Linked DNA regions of Nothobranchius furzeri. The main gene of each other region encodes a partner of the protein of the gene in region 2 in a complex. Links are inferred from orthologs where the notes say so. Each region holds a gene or a part of one and is shown on either strand. Other genes may lie near its edges. The genes, in order: usp4, sart3, ccnt1 and ubiquitin carboxyl-terminal hydrolase 15.

Evidence for each region.
Region 1: the proteins of sart3 (region 2) and usp4 are in contact, whole or in part, in a crystal structure (PDB 5CTR), measured with the Homo sapiens proteins. The link is inferred for Nothobranchius furzeri from reciprocal best matches to the Homo sapiens genes SART3 and USP4. Residues at the interface, in NP_055521.1 of Homo sapiens: Asp437, Ser438, Ser439, Lys440, Gln490, Arg493, Glu494, Trp496, Asp497, Met500, Thr501, Ala505, Trp511, Tyr514, Lys529, Arg533, Cys537; in NP_003354.2 of Homo sapiens: Met24, Thr27, Leu28, Ser53, Trp54, Glu123, Gly125, Leu126, Phe127, Val128, Lys129, His130, Cys131, Lys132.
Region 3: sart3 (region 2) and ccnt1 share a complex: the UniProt entries of both Homo sapiens proteins name them as parts of the 7SK snRNP complex. The link is inferred for Nothobranchius furzeri from reciprocal best matches to the Homo sapiens genes SART3 and CCNT1.
Region 4: the proteins of sart3 (region 2) and ubiquitin carboxyl-terminal hydrolase 15 are in contact, whole or in part, in a crystal structure (PDB 5JJW), measured with the Homo sapiens proteins. The link is inferred for Nothobranchius furzeri from reciprocal best matches to the Homo sapiens genes SART3 and USP15. Residues at the interface, in NP_055521.1 of Homo sapiens: Ser438, Ser439, Lys440, Glu443, Gln490, Arg493, Glu494, Trp496, Asp497, Met500, Thr501, Ala505, Trp511, Tyr514, Arg533, Cys537; in NP_001239007.1 of Homo sapiens: Ser23, Leu24, Asp48, Trp50, Gly121, Met122, Phe123, Val124, Lys125, His126, Lys128.

Annotation. Positions count from the first base shown.
Region 1 is NC_091743.1:47,676,931-47,681,122, forward strand, and holds the start of usp4 (ubiquitin carboxyl-terminal hydrolase 4), read right to left. Parts: upstream 2,804-4,192; 5' UTR 2,764-2,803; coding exon 2,612-2,763; intron 1,515-2,611; coding exon 1,387-1,514; intron 1,296-1,386; coding exon 1,165-1,295; intron 1,088-1,164; coding exon 961-1,087; intron 881-960; coding exon 735-880; intron 1-734.
Region 2 is NC_091757.1:45,779,593-45,783,843, reverse strand, and holds the start of sart3 (squamous cell carcinoma antigen recognized by T-cells 3), read right to left. Parts: upstream 2,817-4,251; 5' UTR 2,775-2,816; coding exon 2,583-2,774; intron 1,905-2,582; coding exon 1,778-1,904; intron 1,686-1,777; coding exon 1,581-1,685; intron 1,490-1,580; coding exon 1,305-1,489; intron 1,073-1,304; coding exon 967-1,072; intron 862-966; coding exon 737-861; intron 653-736; coding exon 497-652; intron 382-496; coding exon 243-381; intron 149-242; coding exon 41-148; intron 1-40. Other genes in the region: iscua (iron-sulfur cluster assembly enzyme ISCU), read left to right, coding at 3,659-3,760, 3,884-3,997, 4,076-4,186. UniProt on the Homo sapiens protein: U6 snRNP-binding protein that functions as a recycling factor of the splicing machinery. Promotes the initial reassembly of U4 and U6 snRNPs following their ejection from the spliceosome during its maturation.
Region 3 is NC_091755.1:57,570,697-57,573,744, forward strand, and holds part of ccnt1 (cyclin-T1), read right to left. Parts: intron 930-3,048; coding exon 859-929; intron 762-858; coding exon 1-761. UniProt on the Homo sapiens protein: Regulatory subunit of the cyclin-dependent kinase pair (CDK9/cyclin-T1) complex, also called positive transcription elongation factor B (P-TEFb), which facilitates the transition from abortive to productive elongation by phosphorylating the CTD (C-terminal domain) of the large subunit of RNA polymerase II (RNA Pol II).
Region 4 is NC_091741.1:53,834,376-53,838,456, forward strand, and holds the start of ubiquitin carboxyl-terminal hydrolase 15, read left to right. Parts: upstream 1-1,259; 5' UTR 1,260-1,304; coding exon 1,305-1,393; intron 1,394-1,951; coding exon 1,952-2,079; intron 2,080-2,520; coding exon 2,521-2,651; intron 2,652-3,038; exon of another isoform or gene 3,039-3,145; coding exon of another isoform or gene 3,146-3,178; intron 3,179-4,081. UniProt on the Homo sapiens protein: Hydrolase that removes conjugated ubiquitin from target proteins and regulates various pathways such as the TGF-beta receptor signaling, NF-kappa-B and RNF41/NRDP1-PRKN pathways.

The DNA.
Region 1 (4,192 bases), on a different chromosome or scaffold from region 2:
TCCTTTCTTTTTACCAAGTTCAGCTGGCCTGGCAAGCCAGACTAAATAAATGTATTATTTAGTCTGGCCACGCTCCATTGACGGCTCTCGGTTGTGGGGCGGGTTCTACCGTTGTCTTTCAAATGATCTCCGCATTCCACTGGACAATGAATGTGACATACTCTTGTTTCACTCTGTTGCATCATCCCACCCACCAGGCACATAGAGTGCCCTGATTGGCCCACAAAGCGGATAAAGCTCTGTGATTTGTTCACTAAGCAGATAGAGCACTATGATTGGCCCACCATTATGGACCAATCACAGCTCTTTATGTGCTTGAACCCCCTCTAGAGAGCTGTGATTGGCTAGCCAGAGTCCTGGTAGGAGCTGCTGAGGTTCCAGTGGAGCATTCCTAGACCAATCTTTGCAAAGCAAGAATTTGGTCTAGTTCACTAGGCTAAAGTTCAGCATCTATTTAAGTTAAAAGTGAAACAATTCTTGTTTACCTCTACCAAACGTATAAAAAAAGTCACAGGAAACGTTTAACAACCCAACCAAAGCTACTCCTCAACAAGATAAACAATAATGCACGTCTCACTGCAGGGCTAATGAGCTGCTTTGCATTAGGCTCCATCATTTTTCTGATTTTATGTCTGTGAATGAATAATTTATGCAGACAGTACTAATATGCTACAAAGGTTGTGCTGTTTCAGTGGATCAGTGTTCTTTAAGGTCATTGGAATAACTAAAACTACCTGTCCCTGGAAGAGTCCGGCATCCTGTACAGTGCTGTCTGGCTTATTCAGCTGCTCATACGTGTTGCTCATGTATTTGTTCCAGAGTCGAGTCTCCTTTTCTGAAGGGATATTAAACAACTTCCGCATCTCCTTCTCTATTGTATCTGGAAACAAACACGTATAATGAACCAGGGCTGTCAGCATCTGCTTTAAGTTCACTTTGAGATCACACAGTAATTCTTACCTATGGTGTCAGCTTTACTAAAATGGCGCGTGATGACGTTGTCCATGTTGTCATTCTCACACAGGTTGAGCTCCAGCAGATAGACTTCCACCTTACAGTGCTTCACAAACATGCCATGTTCAACCACCTAGAGGCCAGAGACAGTCAACGCCTTGCAAAGCTTGGTGAAACAGAAAGAGGAAGACAACTCTTCAATGGGACTACCTTCCTGACGATTGGTTTCTGGCCCTCGAGACAGCTGTACCAGCTGACAAGCTTGTTCCATGCCTCCGTGGGTACAAGGACATAGTCTAGTTCATCTATAAGGTGCTCTTTCAGGGCCTGAGTGTCCTGGTCTAGGAGACAAAAATAAATAATACACCAACTTTTAACGGGGGCTGCTGGAAAGATTAAAAATAAAACAAGACAGGACTCTTGATAAAATACCTGAGAATAGTCCAGAGTTATCAATTGGTCCCGGATAGAGGCTACGTTCTCCAACATTGTACATATCCCAGCTGTCAAACCCCACATACTTTTTCCATTGTTTGAACCACCGGCTGTCTATTAGATACCTAGGACAAATGAATGAATTGTTATTACGTAAATAACAATGAACACAACGATCCTCAAGAATTACCCTAAATAATAACCACCAATGTCTATAGTTATCAGATAATGAATATAGAACAGGATAAAGGATAAGAACCACTGCCTCCTGCAGACACAAAACATTATGTAACACCACAATTCCCTGGCAGTTATAGTAACAGCAAGCCAGTTTTACTTAATCTCGTCTAAAGAATCACCTTTAGTTAATTGGCTTCAAGAGATATCTAGTAACAAACATTCATTCATTCAGTAATGTCCCAGGTATGTCCGTGTCTTGTGTTCCCTTTGACACGTTAGGTTTTATTAAACTGTGTCTGATTAAAGCCAGGATAAGTGTAGCATCGTGAAAGGTCATCTACTAATAACTGAGTGACTGAACAAACGTGGAGCTAAAGAGTTAACCGTTTGTATTTTCTATGTTAATGCCCTTATATTAACTAAGAGAACACACATGTTACCTAGTTTAGATCTCACAGCTTATTATCTAAACTGAAGTTGTTGATTTTTTTTATTTTACTTTAATTATAGGCACGTATAGATTTTTCCACGATAATACTTAATTTGTGAAATATGGGCTCTTTTCAATGCCCTAGCTACGTTATAACCAGGCCTGGATGCTCTTAAAGATTTAAAACGGTGTGAAAAGAGTGACAGTAAAGAAATGCCATATCATATCAGCGAACCTGATTGAGCAACAAGCCGGCTGGACTCGAATCATCTGACTACGGGGCCTTCTAGCTAGCACATCGGTTGGCTCCGATAACGTATTACAAAACGAGATAACTTTGTGTTACTCAACAACATGTTATTTACGTGATTAGTCTGCTGCTCCCAGCCAAAATAGCTGATTCCTTAACGATACACTCCATGTAACAGAAATTGTGAAGAGCTTTGGTTAGCAGCTAGCGTGCTAATCCATGTTACATTAGCTTGCTATTTAGCAATACAGCTTTCTGTTTCATTGCTTTATACGCCTATTAGCTGTAGCATGTTAGCACTTCCGGTTTCTCGCAAGCTAACGCAGGAGCCTCAGATAGGGTTGAACTTAGCTGATTCTTACCATTCGTCCCCTCTTTTTAAAGTTGTTTTCAATAGTGACCCAATAGTTTGTTTCTGATTTTCCGTTGATGGGGTAGGTATTTGTGCGGCTACCGGCTCCGAGTCGGAGTCTGCCGCGCTACCCGAATCGGGTCCGCCTCCCTCAGCCATCATGCAGCCAGTGTGCCGGTATCGTGAACGCGCTAAAACTAAGCACATGGACGAGCTGTGTTCTTTTCATCCCCTATTCCCCTCTAGCAGAGGCGGTTCTAGAGCTTTACTTTTAGGGGTCCACAACTACAAACGTGACTTGCAAAAAGAACCAGAAGTGTCTTCTCTGTCACAAATAAGACTGAAAGCTGGGGTACATACACATTTTTTAATGGTTTTGGTTTCACAATCCTCTCCAGGGTGTGGCTTGTACACTTTTTTTAATCACATTGTCCTTCCATTCACCTCTCTTTAAATGTGCTTAGCTTATACACAGCTCTTTAGCAACCATCAGTCAGTATGTACAGTCTATGTACAGTATGTACTAGGATTGTCACGATACTAAAATTTCAAACTCGATTCGATACTTGGACAAAAACCGATACTCGATTTCGATACTATTTAAAAACACCCATTTATCGAACAAGTTTATTCAAAAAATAACATTCCTCACATTATATTACAAAAATTAAATGTTAAGAATTAAGTGTATTAAGTGCTTAAACCTTTAAAGTATCAGCATTTTTTAAAACGTGCATACAAAAACTGGTGAAAGTTAACATTTTAAATCATGAATTGTCTCACTATATATACACTATTTGCAGAGTGATGTTTTGCTGCTTAAACTCTGTTTAAGGTGCATTTTTGTCATAAGCTGTAATGCCATATGTTTTGTTCTGTACTTTTGAACAACTCTGTTGGTCAATAAAGGGAGAAAACAAATTTCTCCACAGTAGGACAAAGGTACATCTACCGGTAATCTTAATAAAAACAGACTGGCGCACGGCAGTGACGTCATTAAAAGCGCCGGTTAGATTAGCCGCAGCTAGTCTGTTTACGCCTAGAAATCCCAGACCAGACCCGCTCCAAACGAACAGGGGAATCACGTTAATGATTCCTAACAAAACCTTTCGACATGAAGATGTTTTGGTGCAGATAATGTCCTATTTCGAGGCTGCACCATGGGTGCCCGTCCGCACCCGTTATATGGATATACGCTGACGGCGATTTGGTGATGGACCTACGGTAAATACCCCGGGGAATCCAAGTAGCACCAAAGTTGTCAGCGTGAGTAAACAAACGTACTGCATGCTAGAAATTAAGGCCGGGTTGCAATAAACGGGAGTTTCCTTTAAGCACATAAGCGTGAATATACAACTACATGTCGGACTAATTAAGTTGGGCTGTGAAGCGCCTCCCAAATTCGCTGTTTATGTTTTTGTTTATTTATTTGGCAGACAAAACTTGGATTGGAGACAACTCGCGTGGGAAATTGCAATGTAGCCATGCGGCGTCTTCTTCTGTTTGTCTGGGAGGCGGAGGCTGCTTTACGGCATCTGGCTGTCGTGCGTGTCGGTGTACTTGAAGAAGGCTGTGTATCATAGTCCATAAT
Region 2 (4,251 bases):
TTAAAGACAGCAACTGTTTTAGACACAGATCTGCTCTCACCTTTAGAGAAATCCACACGTCTCCTCAGGTAGTCCAGGTAGGCCTGCCAAATTTCTACATAATCTGTGGCTTGAATGAAGCCTGCGTTCAGAGCCTTCTCAAAAACATCTGTGCAGAAGAGATTAACATCAATCTGCTTCACAAACGCTTGACACTAATAAAGCAGCTGACTGGTCGACTTGATGCTGAACCTAGCCGCTACCTGACACAGTGTGATGGTCACTGCCATGCCTCTCCAGGGCCAACAGGTAGCTCTTCCACAGACTCATGGTCCACGGGCAGTTCCTGACCGCTCGCTCGTGAGTGGACAGAACCAAGTCTTTGATCTTCAGCTGACGATCCTGTAAAACCAGTAAGGACCTTTTACACTCTGACTAGCTGTGATTTTTTCATTTATTTACTTCTGAAACCTTAGATGCTGTAATGACACGACTGCGAACAGTAACCAATACTCACGAGATATGTGGTGTATTTAGTCCACATGTCTGGAACCAGGCAGTTCTCAGCCAGAGCTCGCTCGAAGGTAATCTGGATCCGTGGTGGGTCCCCCTCCTTTAGCTCAAACTCAATGTAGGCCTGATATTCTGCCAGTTTAGGAGGTTCTGCTACCAGCTAGAGAAAGATATAGCAGAAATGACATGCGCTGCAAAAACACTTTGTGCAAACCACTTAAAAAAAAGATAAGTGTTCAGTTACCAGAGCTTCTTCATAAGATTTGCACTTCTGCATCTGCTGCAAAGCCTTTTTGTACTGATGGACGACAGTCTCAGGAACCCCGTTTTCAGACCACTCCTCATACTCAGCATAGGTGGTTTCCATTTCTGCAAAAGCAGTAAGCAATTTAAACTTGTTCATCGAAGAAGTCGTGACATCCAGCCAGCCCATCTGTGCAGAAGCCATCTGGACAGAGGAGGTGCCATGCCTACCCATTAGTGGAACGGCCAGCTGGCGGCGAAACAATGTATGGATTCGCTCGAGCTGATTGTTGAGCAGTTCCTGCTCCTCGTGGCTGGGAATCCTGCCAGGGGGAGGCTGAGAGCAAAGACGGGAGAGTAAATTAGGATGAAAAACAGCCAATTTAGTCAAAAATCTAAAGGAATTCTTTCCAGGCATAGATATGAGAGCATGCTTTGAATCAATAAAATAAGACATTTACTTATCTATCTAGACTGCAATAGAATACAGAAACATCATCATTCTACATAAATATTATTAAATTATTTAGAAATACTGAGTACATGGTTGACCAGTGAGCAGCACAAACCTGCAACGTAGACAAAAGTGCATTCTCAAACTCTCTGTAGGCCTCCCACAGCGTCTGCCCCTTGGTCATGTGGAGTCCCACCGCTGTTACCGCTCTCTCAAAGATAGATCTGACCTTGTCTATCCCACCAGGTGACCCCATGCCACCAATTGAATACTGGGCATATTCAAGCCAGATCTCTGGGCCTGTTCAACCAGTCACAGAATAAAATGATTCAGACCATTAAAACAGCTGAATGTTAGAATAAATTCAACAACAGCAGTATAGTTGACTCACAAATGTAGTCTTTAACAGCTCTCTCAAACAGCTCGTACACTTTCTCCCGATTTGCATCCTCCTCAGTCAGACGGATTTCATCCTTGAGCCAGTCCAGCCAGATCTCTGCAAACATACACCAAAATGTCATTTCAGTGGCAGACGACACAAAGCTGCTGGTTCCTTGGAATTGGCAGCTGGATTAGACGTGAACCAACCTTCAGTGAGAGGGAAAAGCTCGCTCATCTTCTGCCTCGCCTTTCTCAGACGAAAAAGTTCTCCCTCGTGCTTCAGGAGTTTGATCAGATCCACATGACAGTTGTAGTCAAAAGCGTTGATCGAAAGCTGCAAAAGTGCAAAAAGAGACACGAGCGTCATGTTGAATCATTAAACTAATTTTACATAATTTTCTTTTTGAGTTTATTGATCTTTAATTAATGAAAAAGCAATCCAGTAAGTTAGTTTTACTGCCAAAAACAGCTGATGTAAAGATTCAAGCCTAATTGTAGGGGTGGAGCAACAAGCAATAAATACATTAACAAATAAATAAATCGGATTGTTTAGACCCCAGACTAAGTCCAGTAATTGTAGTAGTAAACTTGTTTTTTTTTTCATGTGAAAAAGCATTTTATTTCTACAAATGATGCACTTGTGAGTTGTGCTCGAACATGTTTATTAGTTACACTAAAGTTAGGACAGGTGACCCTCGTTCTTAGTACGTATAAAGCTGTTTCCATGCCCAGGTCGCAAAAAGGCGCGTGCTGCAGGACCAAACGTTAGCATCGGAGGTTAGCACGGGCTAATCACGACGTGTGATTCATGCCGTGAACTACGCAGTTGCCTAAATGTTTTAATGAACATATGAACTATTTATTCTGGTTTAAATCAAAACCTATAAAGGGATGAGCAACACGCAATGAGTTTGAAACCTCACGAGTTTCTGCGTTCAGCACTCATTCATTCTCATTAGCTTCCACGGCTAATGTTGACTAATCAGGCTTGGCAGGATTGTTGACCAATTACCTGCTCCTCCAATCGCTGGATCTCGGCTTCATTTTCTTTCTCGTCCTCCGACGATTCGTCCTCTTCGTCGTCTGAATTTTCTACACCCATGCCTTCTTCCTCGTCCGATTCCATCTCTCTTTCCTCTACTCCTGCTTCGTCCTCCTCCATATCCTGCAACTGCGTTTGCTCTGCGTTGCCTGGCGCTGCCATATTGAAAAGTCTGTCTGCCTGGTAACAACAAGCCTAGCCCGAAGAACAGAGGCGTGGGTTGGGCAAGCCGATTTATCATATAAAAAATTTGTAATAACGAGAGTCGCATCATCTCAATCCCATTAATCTGAAATAACGGGTATAAATAAAAGTGACGACAAAATTAAAATCTCATTAGTCCGTGATACGGCAAATATGAAATAATTTTAAGCATTTGAGAACATGCCTAATTAGTAGAAACAATATAAATGCAAATATCCAAGATAACTGGGAACTCTTAAAACTTCAGTTGGGTGGAATAAAATAAATTGTTATTTTATTTACAGGCCTCATAGCAAGTCAGAAAGAATTGCAGATGTCTGAAATTTGAGTTTCTTTCTGTAATATTTATTTTTCATGTTTCCATCTTGTTTATTCTGAATAAATAATTTACCATCTCACGATAAAGACTAATTTCACATTAATTAATTAAGTTATGTTAACTATAATTGTTTTTAAGGAATTCTCAATATTTCAAACGCTGATTGTGGATGGAAATGTTTCGGTATATCAAATGTTTTTGAGGGGGAAGAAATTAGTTATACAAAGATGCAATTAAAAATGAAATAGCAATTCATACCACTCTAGTCATTAAATGTTAATATCAACAAAAACGTTTGACTATTTTAACATCTGACATCAACATCTTACAGGTTTAAAACACTTCAGTGATTAAATTATATGTTACAAAGTTTTGCCGTTTCCACCACGCATCCCGGGAAACTGCAGTAGCCACTATTCACCGCTAGTGGCGCGCAGTTGTTATGAAAACACTTTTCTGACAGAAAGAGTTCGCCGTCGTTCGGGTTCACTCGTTAATTTCCGCTTACGGTCGGCGTCCAAACATGGCGACTGCCTCCTTGCGAAATTCTTCTTCTCTGTTTTCATCATTTCACCAAAGGTTTTTCAGACCAAAGCTGACCGTTCTTTGCTCATATCATAAAAAGGTAACCGACCAAAGAATGTCATTGACTTTGTGTGAAGTAAAGTCCTCGGTTTGTTTGTTTGTGTGGTGTTAGAAGTCAACGCAAGTCCTGAAACATTAATGCATTTAATTAACTGTCCTGAAGGTGGTGGACCATTATGAAAACCCGAGGAATGTGGGCTCTTTGGACAAGAACTCCAAGAGCGTGGGGACCGGACTGGTGGGTGCTCCAGCCTGTGGTGATGTTATGAAACTTCAGGTAAGCTGAAACAAAACTGCCGTTAAAGACTTTTCACTCATAAACGACACCCGGCGGTATTATTCATGCTGTTTCCAGATCCAAGTGGATGAAGATGGCAAAATATCTGATGCAAAATTCAAAACATTCGGCTGCGGATCCGCCATCGCCTCCAGCTCTTTAGCTACAGAGTGGGTGAAGGGGAAATCGGTAGGGCAAGAATTATTACATTTATGAAGACTGTTCTTGTTTTAGAGCAGAAGGTCTGAATAACC
Region 3 (3,048 bases), on a different chromosome or scaffold from region 2:
GATGAATGTTTGTGTGAAGAAGAAACTGAAGCACTGCTAGAAGAGGAGGAATGGTGGTGAGGATGATGGTTGTGATGATGGTGATGATGGTATGCACGGTCCCTGTGCTTGTCCCTGCTACTCTTGCCCTCCTCTCCAGAACTCCCTCTTTGCTTCTCAGGCACTCGTATTTTTACTTTGATGTCTGGATCCTGACCTCGAGTGGCGTCACTGACTGCTCCGGTGTGTGGAAAACGCATTTTCAGATGCCTCTCCTTCTCCAAGGGAATTTTAAGAATAATGGGTGATGGGTTGGGCATGTCAGAGGAGGAAGAGGAACTGGACTGCTGGTGATGATGATGCTGTTGCTTCTCCTTTCTCTGCTGCTGGCCAATGAGAGCCTGGGCTGCGTTTGCATATTCCCTCTTCACACTGGCCTCCATGTTCTCAAGCTTTCTCTTCTGTGCTGCCAGGACATCAGCATTTTTGGCACGGTACTCACTCAGGGATACCTTTGCTGGGGTGTGCACTTCATGGTTGGGCTGCTGCTGCTGCTCAGTTCCAGCCTGACCCTTTCCACTCCACGTCTGAGCACTAATGGGCATAGCCCTGTCCTTGTCACTGATAGATGATGAAGAGGAGGTGGACGGTGGAGCTGAGAGGCTCAACAGGCCCGCTACAGTACTCTCTGATGAAGCCATAGAAATCATGTTGATCATGGTGTCCCTCTGGTCGCCATCTTCCTGAATCTTTGGCTTGACTTTGGGTGTCTGACCGCCAGCCTAAAATGCCAAAAAGTCAAAGATTAAAGTTCATTAAAATTTACAAATTGCAGAAAGACCAGATTGTATCAAGTGGGTGGGAAAATAAAACGTGTACCTTCCAGTTGCGAATGCGTTTCAGCCGACTGGGTGTTTTCTCCAGGATTTGAAGGAACTCGTGAGTAAGTTCTGCAAAAGATTTTAAAAATTAAGATAAACTCAAGTAGGGCTGGGCGATACGGCCTAAAATCAATATCATTATATATTGAGCATTTCACCTCGATAACGATAAATGGACAATAACTACAGGTGTGCGCAGAAACAAAAGTTGTCCACTAGATGGGGCTGTCACCTAGGGCTGAACGATCTATCGTTTTTTTTTTTTTGGGACCGAAATTGCGATTTCAAACAGCACGATCACATGATCGTCAAAGCTGGGGTTTTGGGGCGGTTTTGACTGATCCAGGATATGTTGTGTAACTTTTACATTCGGGGTTTCCCCCTGTGTTACAGCGACGGCAACAGCCAGCGCGGGGGAAGGGATACGGTGTAGGGTTGGGAATCGAGCATCGATTGGAACTGGGACCAACTGTTAGTTTTTCATGGAGTCGTTCAAAGTTTTTTACTTCAATTCCTAGTTTTCGATTCTTAGTATGCCGACCGGAAAAGGAAACCGCGGCCAATCTCCATGAAAAATAAACGTGATCTGCTAATTGTGATCAACGCTTTTCAGAGCTGATCACACCAGCTGTCTGTCTGCAGCACCAAGTCCCCCCTCCCCCAACCGTGCACGCAGCGGCCAAATATAAACAAATGCGTCTGCCGAACTTTTACCCCGTAATGTAAACTTTAACTCCTGCAGCGTAGAGGAAACGTTAAAATACGGCAACACAGTGGACTTACTAGAAGCTTTAAAGAACAAACTCTGGATGGTGTGAGATTGTCTCACTGCAGAAATAAAAACACACACGTCAGCAGTCAGACGCAGCCGCTCACCAACACTCGTGTGTGTGTGTGAGTGTGAGCGTCAGAAGGCTGAATAACCTGTAGAATAATTAAAGTCATAATGCTAGAGAAGCTTCTTTGTGGTGGACCACACCAGCTTCTGCCACTAGGAAAGGGATAATAAATAATAAATAATAATAAATCACACACAAAGTTGTGAAATTTCCTTTCTGAACTATATCTGTTAAGAGTTTTAAAATCTGTTAGATTGTTACTGACAGCAGCTACATTTAAGTTTCAGTCTCTGTTCTGACTGAAGCTGCTGCAGCATGGAGGTGTAGTTCTCAGTCATCCTGGACATGATCATCCTGAGAGTTTTAGCAGAAAACAGCTGGACGTTTCTGGATATGTCGGAGACATTTAGCCTCTCATCCCAGAGGCTTCTTCCAGACTTTGGTTGTGGTCAGAAACAAACACACTGATTGTGCTGCAAGTCTTTTTCTTTTTTTCTTGAAAACATGTTTTTGTCTAAATGAAGATGATGTTATTGTTCATAGAATTAAAATTCATGATGAGGTTAAGATAATTTCATCAAGCAGGACCTGTGGTTAGCTGGCTCATTTAAAACATGTCATGTCTTGAAAGAATTGGAATCGATAGGAACCGGAATCGAAATCAGAATCGTTCAAAACCAAACAATGCCCAACCCTAATGGGGTGTACTGTCTGGAGCCGAGCCCAGCTGACAGAGCTGCACATTTAGGTTATTTTCCCTGTTTTATTTTTCCACACACAGCGCTGCTAGAGCTTGGTTTATGCTTCATCAGTGCGAGTGCGGAGTCGTGCACTTTAGTTGACTTGAAAGATCAACTTTTCTTTTAAAAAATGTTTGATTTTTTCAGATGGCACACATTGCGTCTTTCTCATGGAGCTGTCCGCAGCACTAACCAGGCTTTATAGCTGAGATTTAGTGATGAAAAACTATCAGACGGCTTAGAAAAGCGTGCAGCCTGCCTTGGTAATGCAGGGAAAACTGTGTATATTTTTCGTTAATTAATACATTTGAAAACTGTTTCTACATTCAGATATCCTCCTTGCATTTTTGGAGTAGAACAAGAACATGTTCATTATAAAGCACCTCTCTAGATAAAAATCACAAATTGCTTCACAAGCACACAAAAAAACCATAATAACGGGAGAAAATTGTAATAGCTTTAACAGTGTTTATTGTATTATTAGATAATTATTCATTAATTATAATATACCTGATTAGGTGTACATATTAATTATTATTAGATATTAACGTGATTAATATTTAGAGGTATATATTAACATGTGAATGATTTGTTCTACTAGATTAGAAT
Region 4 (4,081 bases), on a different chromosome or scaffold from region 2:
GCATTTGTTTAGTGTGAAGTAAAGTTGAAGTGCTGAAGTTTTGAAAACTAATTTTGAATGAAACTTGAAGAATAACTGGCAATTGCGTGCTCATTTGAAGAGGTCTTTCATATTTTATAACATGCTAATTTATATAATGGTTTACAAACACAAAAGGGTCATTTATTAGAGTACTCGATTAATTGATAAAAGATTCAATAGAGTACTCGATTACGAAAATATTCGATAGCTGCAGCCCTAGTTCATGCAAACTTGAGTAATAAAAACATCAGATATGGATCTGATTTAGGGTGACAGAAAGCAGAGTGAATCTGATTTGTCCTGTTCTGACAAACAAATGTCAGATCTGTATACTGGTAAGAAATTTATTTTCAAACATACTCACTTAGATAATCATTCAGTCAGAGTTACATCATTAATCCATTCATTTTTTCTCTCTCAATGTCTTAAAATTTGTTTGATCTCCAAAGTGTTTTTTCTTGATCCTACTGGCACAAATCTAATCCCATAGCAATGGTCCATGTATTAGCATCTTCTTGAACACTATTAGATAGCTCGGTTCTGGGCTGCCCACTGGATTCAGTATAGGAGATGTGTGATAGGAGGATGGGGAAGATGACCTCCATTTAAAAAAAAACCTCCCACTGTGGAGACCATGGACAGCTCCTGCAGAGGCAGATGGAGACATCCCAGACGTAAAATGTCACTTTTACTTGTCAAAATTTAAATGAAAGCTATACTCACTTACATTCTTAATACAAACATTTTTCTCAAGTATTTTAGGGATGTCTGGTATTGTTGTAGATGTCTAAAATGAGGGATTAAATGATAGATATCGGAAATAATAATTTTCTTAATATGAGAGGAGTTCTGTTTAAGACATCTGACAATTTTAATCCAGCTAATTAGAGTAAAAACCCAACTTGCATACATGAATTTGGCTTTTTTTTCAGTTCTTGAGAGCTAAAGAAAAATTTCCACCACGGTGGACAGTTAAGTGTCATTCTATTCTATTCTATTCTATTCTATTCTATTCTATTCTATTCTATTTGTCCTGTAACGATTGTTGGAGCTATCTGAATTTTTTTCCAGGTCGCAGGTATTTATTGCTCTCTAATATGTTTATTTTGACCTAATGGAATTGAATGACAAAGCACCTTTAGCCTATCTTAAATGTGAAAAGAGCTTGCCACACCTTCCTCTGCACCGCTGCTTGGCTCCTGATTGGTGTCAGTAGATCAATTACGCTCAACGTGCGTCGATGACGCCGCACGCTTTTCCCACCATGCAACGTTCGAGTAAAGATGGCCGAAGGAGGAGCGGCTGATCTGGATACTCAGAGAGGAGAGATCACGACACTATTGAAAACACAGCTTAGGAAAGGGGACACCTGGTAAGGCATGAACCGAGATCTCTCTTGAGGGACTGCGTGGCCGCCGCCTGGCTCTGCTGCGAGTGACAAAGCCACAAATGTTAGAAAAGCCGAGGTGACGGGCCGTGTTGACAGTGAGGCGTTTGGGTTGCTAACGAGAGCGTTCCAGCTAACCGCTGGCTCTGGTCAGTTTAAATGAAGAACTGACTCTTAACGTTTAAATTCTGAACTCTACGCGCAATTGTAATCCGTTCTAAACGAATAATGTTGTTTTTATCTGATTTCATGACCTTAACAATACTAAAGAGCCTGTTGGGTAAGTAGCAGGCTAATTTAGCTACTTGGTTAGCATGTGTCGCTCCAAGTGATTTTCCAGTCAGGGGGTTCGTCTGTCGACTTTAGTTGGGCGGAGTCGGTAAAAAAAAAAACACCTGTCAAAATCTCAGAGCCAGCTGGCTGGGATTGCAGCAATCTGAACTCCACCTACCGTCAATAAATCAGCTGTTGGGTGTAGTGTTTGCCTCTCAGAGTCTTTTAAAACACTGTTGTTATTGAGTAAACCGTGGTGGTCTCCTCTAGGTATTTAGTGGACAGTCGCTGGTTCAAACAGTGGAAGAAATATGTGGGATTTGACAGCTGGGATAAATACCAGATGGGGGACCAGAATGTTTACCCCGGACCGGTGGATAACTCTGGCCTACTCAAAGGTAAGACCGGTGAAAACTCAAACTACTAAACTAGGTCCTACATTAATATTTCTGTTTACCTGTTGTTTGTTCCTCTTTCTTCAGCTGTGGTTGATTACCATCGTGCATGTTTTAATATTTAGTTGTTTCAGAGAATATCTGTCAAAGTCAGTTTAGGTAGGTTTTTCTAGCAAATAAATACAGCAAAACAGAAGATTGTAAAGTTCAGTATTAATAATCTAATATTTTAATAATTGTGTCTCTGCTGAGTGTCTTCATTCTGAAATTACCGACAATTTCAGCAAAATGGAGACAAAGCTAGAATTGTCTACTGACTTCATAGAAGCTCCCCAGCCTACCTTTTGTTTTTTTGTGTGAGAAAGCACACAGTCAGTGATGCGTTCTTTGTTCTGATTGTGTTTCTCGTCCTCTCCTTTCATCCCTTGTTCCCTCTCTTTCTAGATGGGGATGTGCTGGCCATCAAGGACCACCTCATCGATGAGCTCGACTACATCCTGGTCCCTGCCGAAGGCTGGAATAAACTTGTCAGCTGGTATGGACTGTCAGAAGGTCAGGAACCAATCGCACGCAAGGTAAAGGTTCAGAACCCTGGAAGGGCATTTATTGAGTGTTAGTGATGGAGAGATAAGGCAGCTTTTCTTTAATGGACTGTAAGAGTCTTACTAATGGCTGCTGCTTTGTGGTGGAGTCCATTGAAATGTTTTCTGTCTACAGAATCAGTTTGTTTACAGGATGATTCTTACATTTCAGCGTAAAAACAAAATATTTCAACCAGGATTAACAAAGATTATACAACATTTAGATGAAAGATCAGTATAAAATATAATTAGTTTTTTGGAATACATTAGGATTGCAACTTAAGTATTAATTTCTCCACTTCAGATTTTGCTAATCATGCCATCATGGCTGCTGGAGGAGGTCGTCCCCCCCCCCCCCCCCCGGCACCACTGTATTCCTCTCTTCGTTTCCGTTGACCCTCCCTCTTTTCCCATGTATGTCATGGCACGTATCGGGTGGCTACAGGGTTTCTATTTTCAGGCAACGTTCTGGGTGACTGTAAAGCTACATGGAGCGGTCTACAAGACACAACATGCAGGAGGTTTATAAATAATCTGTTTTTCTCTCTTTTTGAACTTATTTTGCCATCCTGTGCTGTGGGAGAGTGCATAAGTTTGAGTGGGATTCAGGAGGACTGCTGTCAGCGGGTTCGTCTTCCACAGTCCTCAGCTGGTGTTGCTGTTAACACCGGTGGAGCGTTCTTGAGCCCTTGTTTTTTGGAGTGGAGGAATTCCTGCTGAGGTCACTCTGAGAGTAGCAGCGCGAAGGATTGAGAGAGGAGTGTGACCAGTATGGGAGGAGGAATGGGGTGGGTGGGGTAAATAGTTTTTAACTGAGCTCTAATTTGAGGAATTCTGTTAGAGTTTGGCCCTTGGGTTGTACTTACGTCCTCTCGATTTAAAATGGCACTGACTTTTTCTGAGCAGCTCTGTCGGCCCAACAGAACATCCAGGCTTGGTTCGGGGCAGGGCTGGAGGTGATGCATGACCGGTGCAGTTCTCAGTGTCGTTTGTGAAAGTAGTACTGTGTGTGTGTGTATATATATATACATGCGTGTGTGTTGGAGAGGCTCAGTGGTGAAATAAATAGGTTCAGACCCCCTCAGCTGTTTCCACAAGGTGCTGCTATAATTAGATCTTCACTCTAACTCCGATTTTGTCAGAGGACTTGATAAGTAGCAGCCAGGGCAGCAGATTGGACTTCTGTTTGTTGCACAAATCTAGATAAAAAAAGACTATTTAAATGTGTTGTTTTATTTTTCTGCATTTACTTTATTTAGTTCAGTATAACAAGCAGGAACCTGCAGCCTATAATGGTTTGGATTGATCATTATGACACTAGATTTAATCTTTTGGTGATAATTGTTGTTTGATAATCATTTGTTTTGGCACAAATGCTCTGCTCCACTGTAACACCAGAATGCTGGAAATAACATGTGACTGAA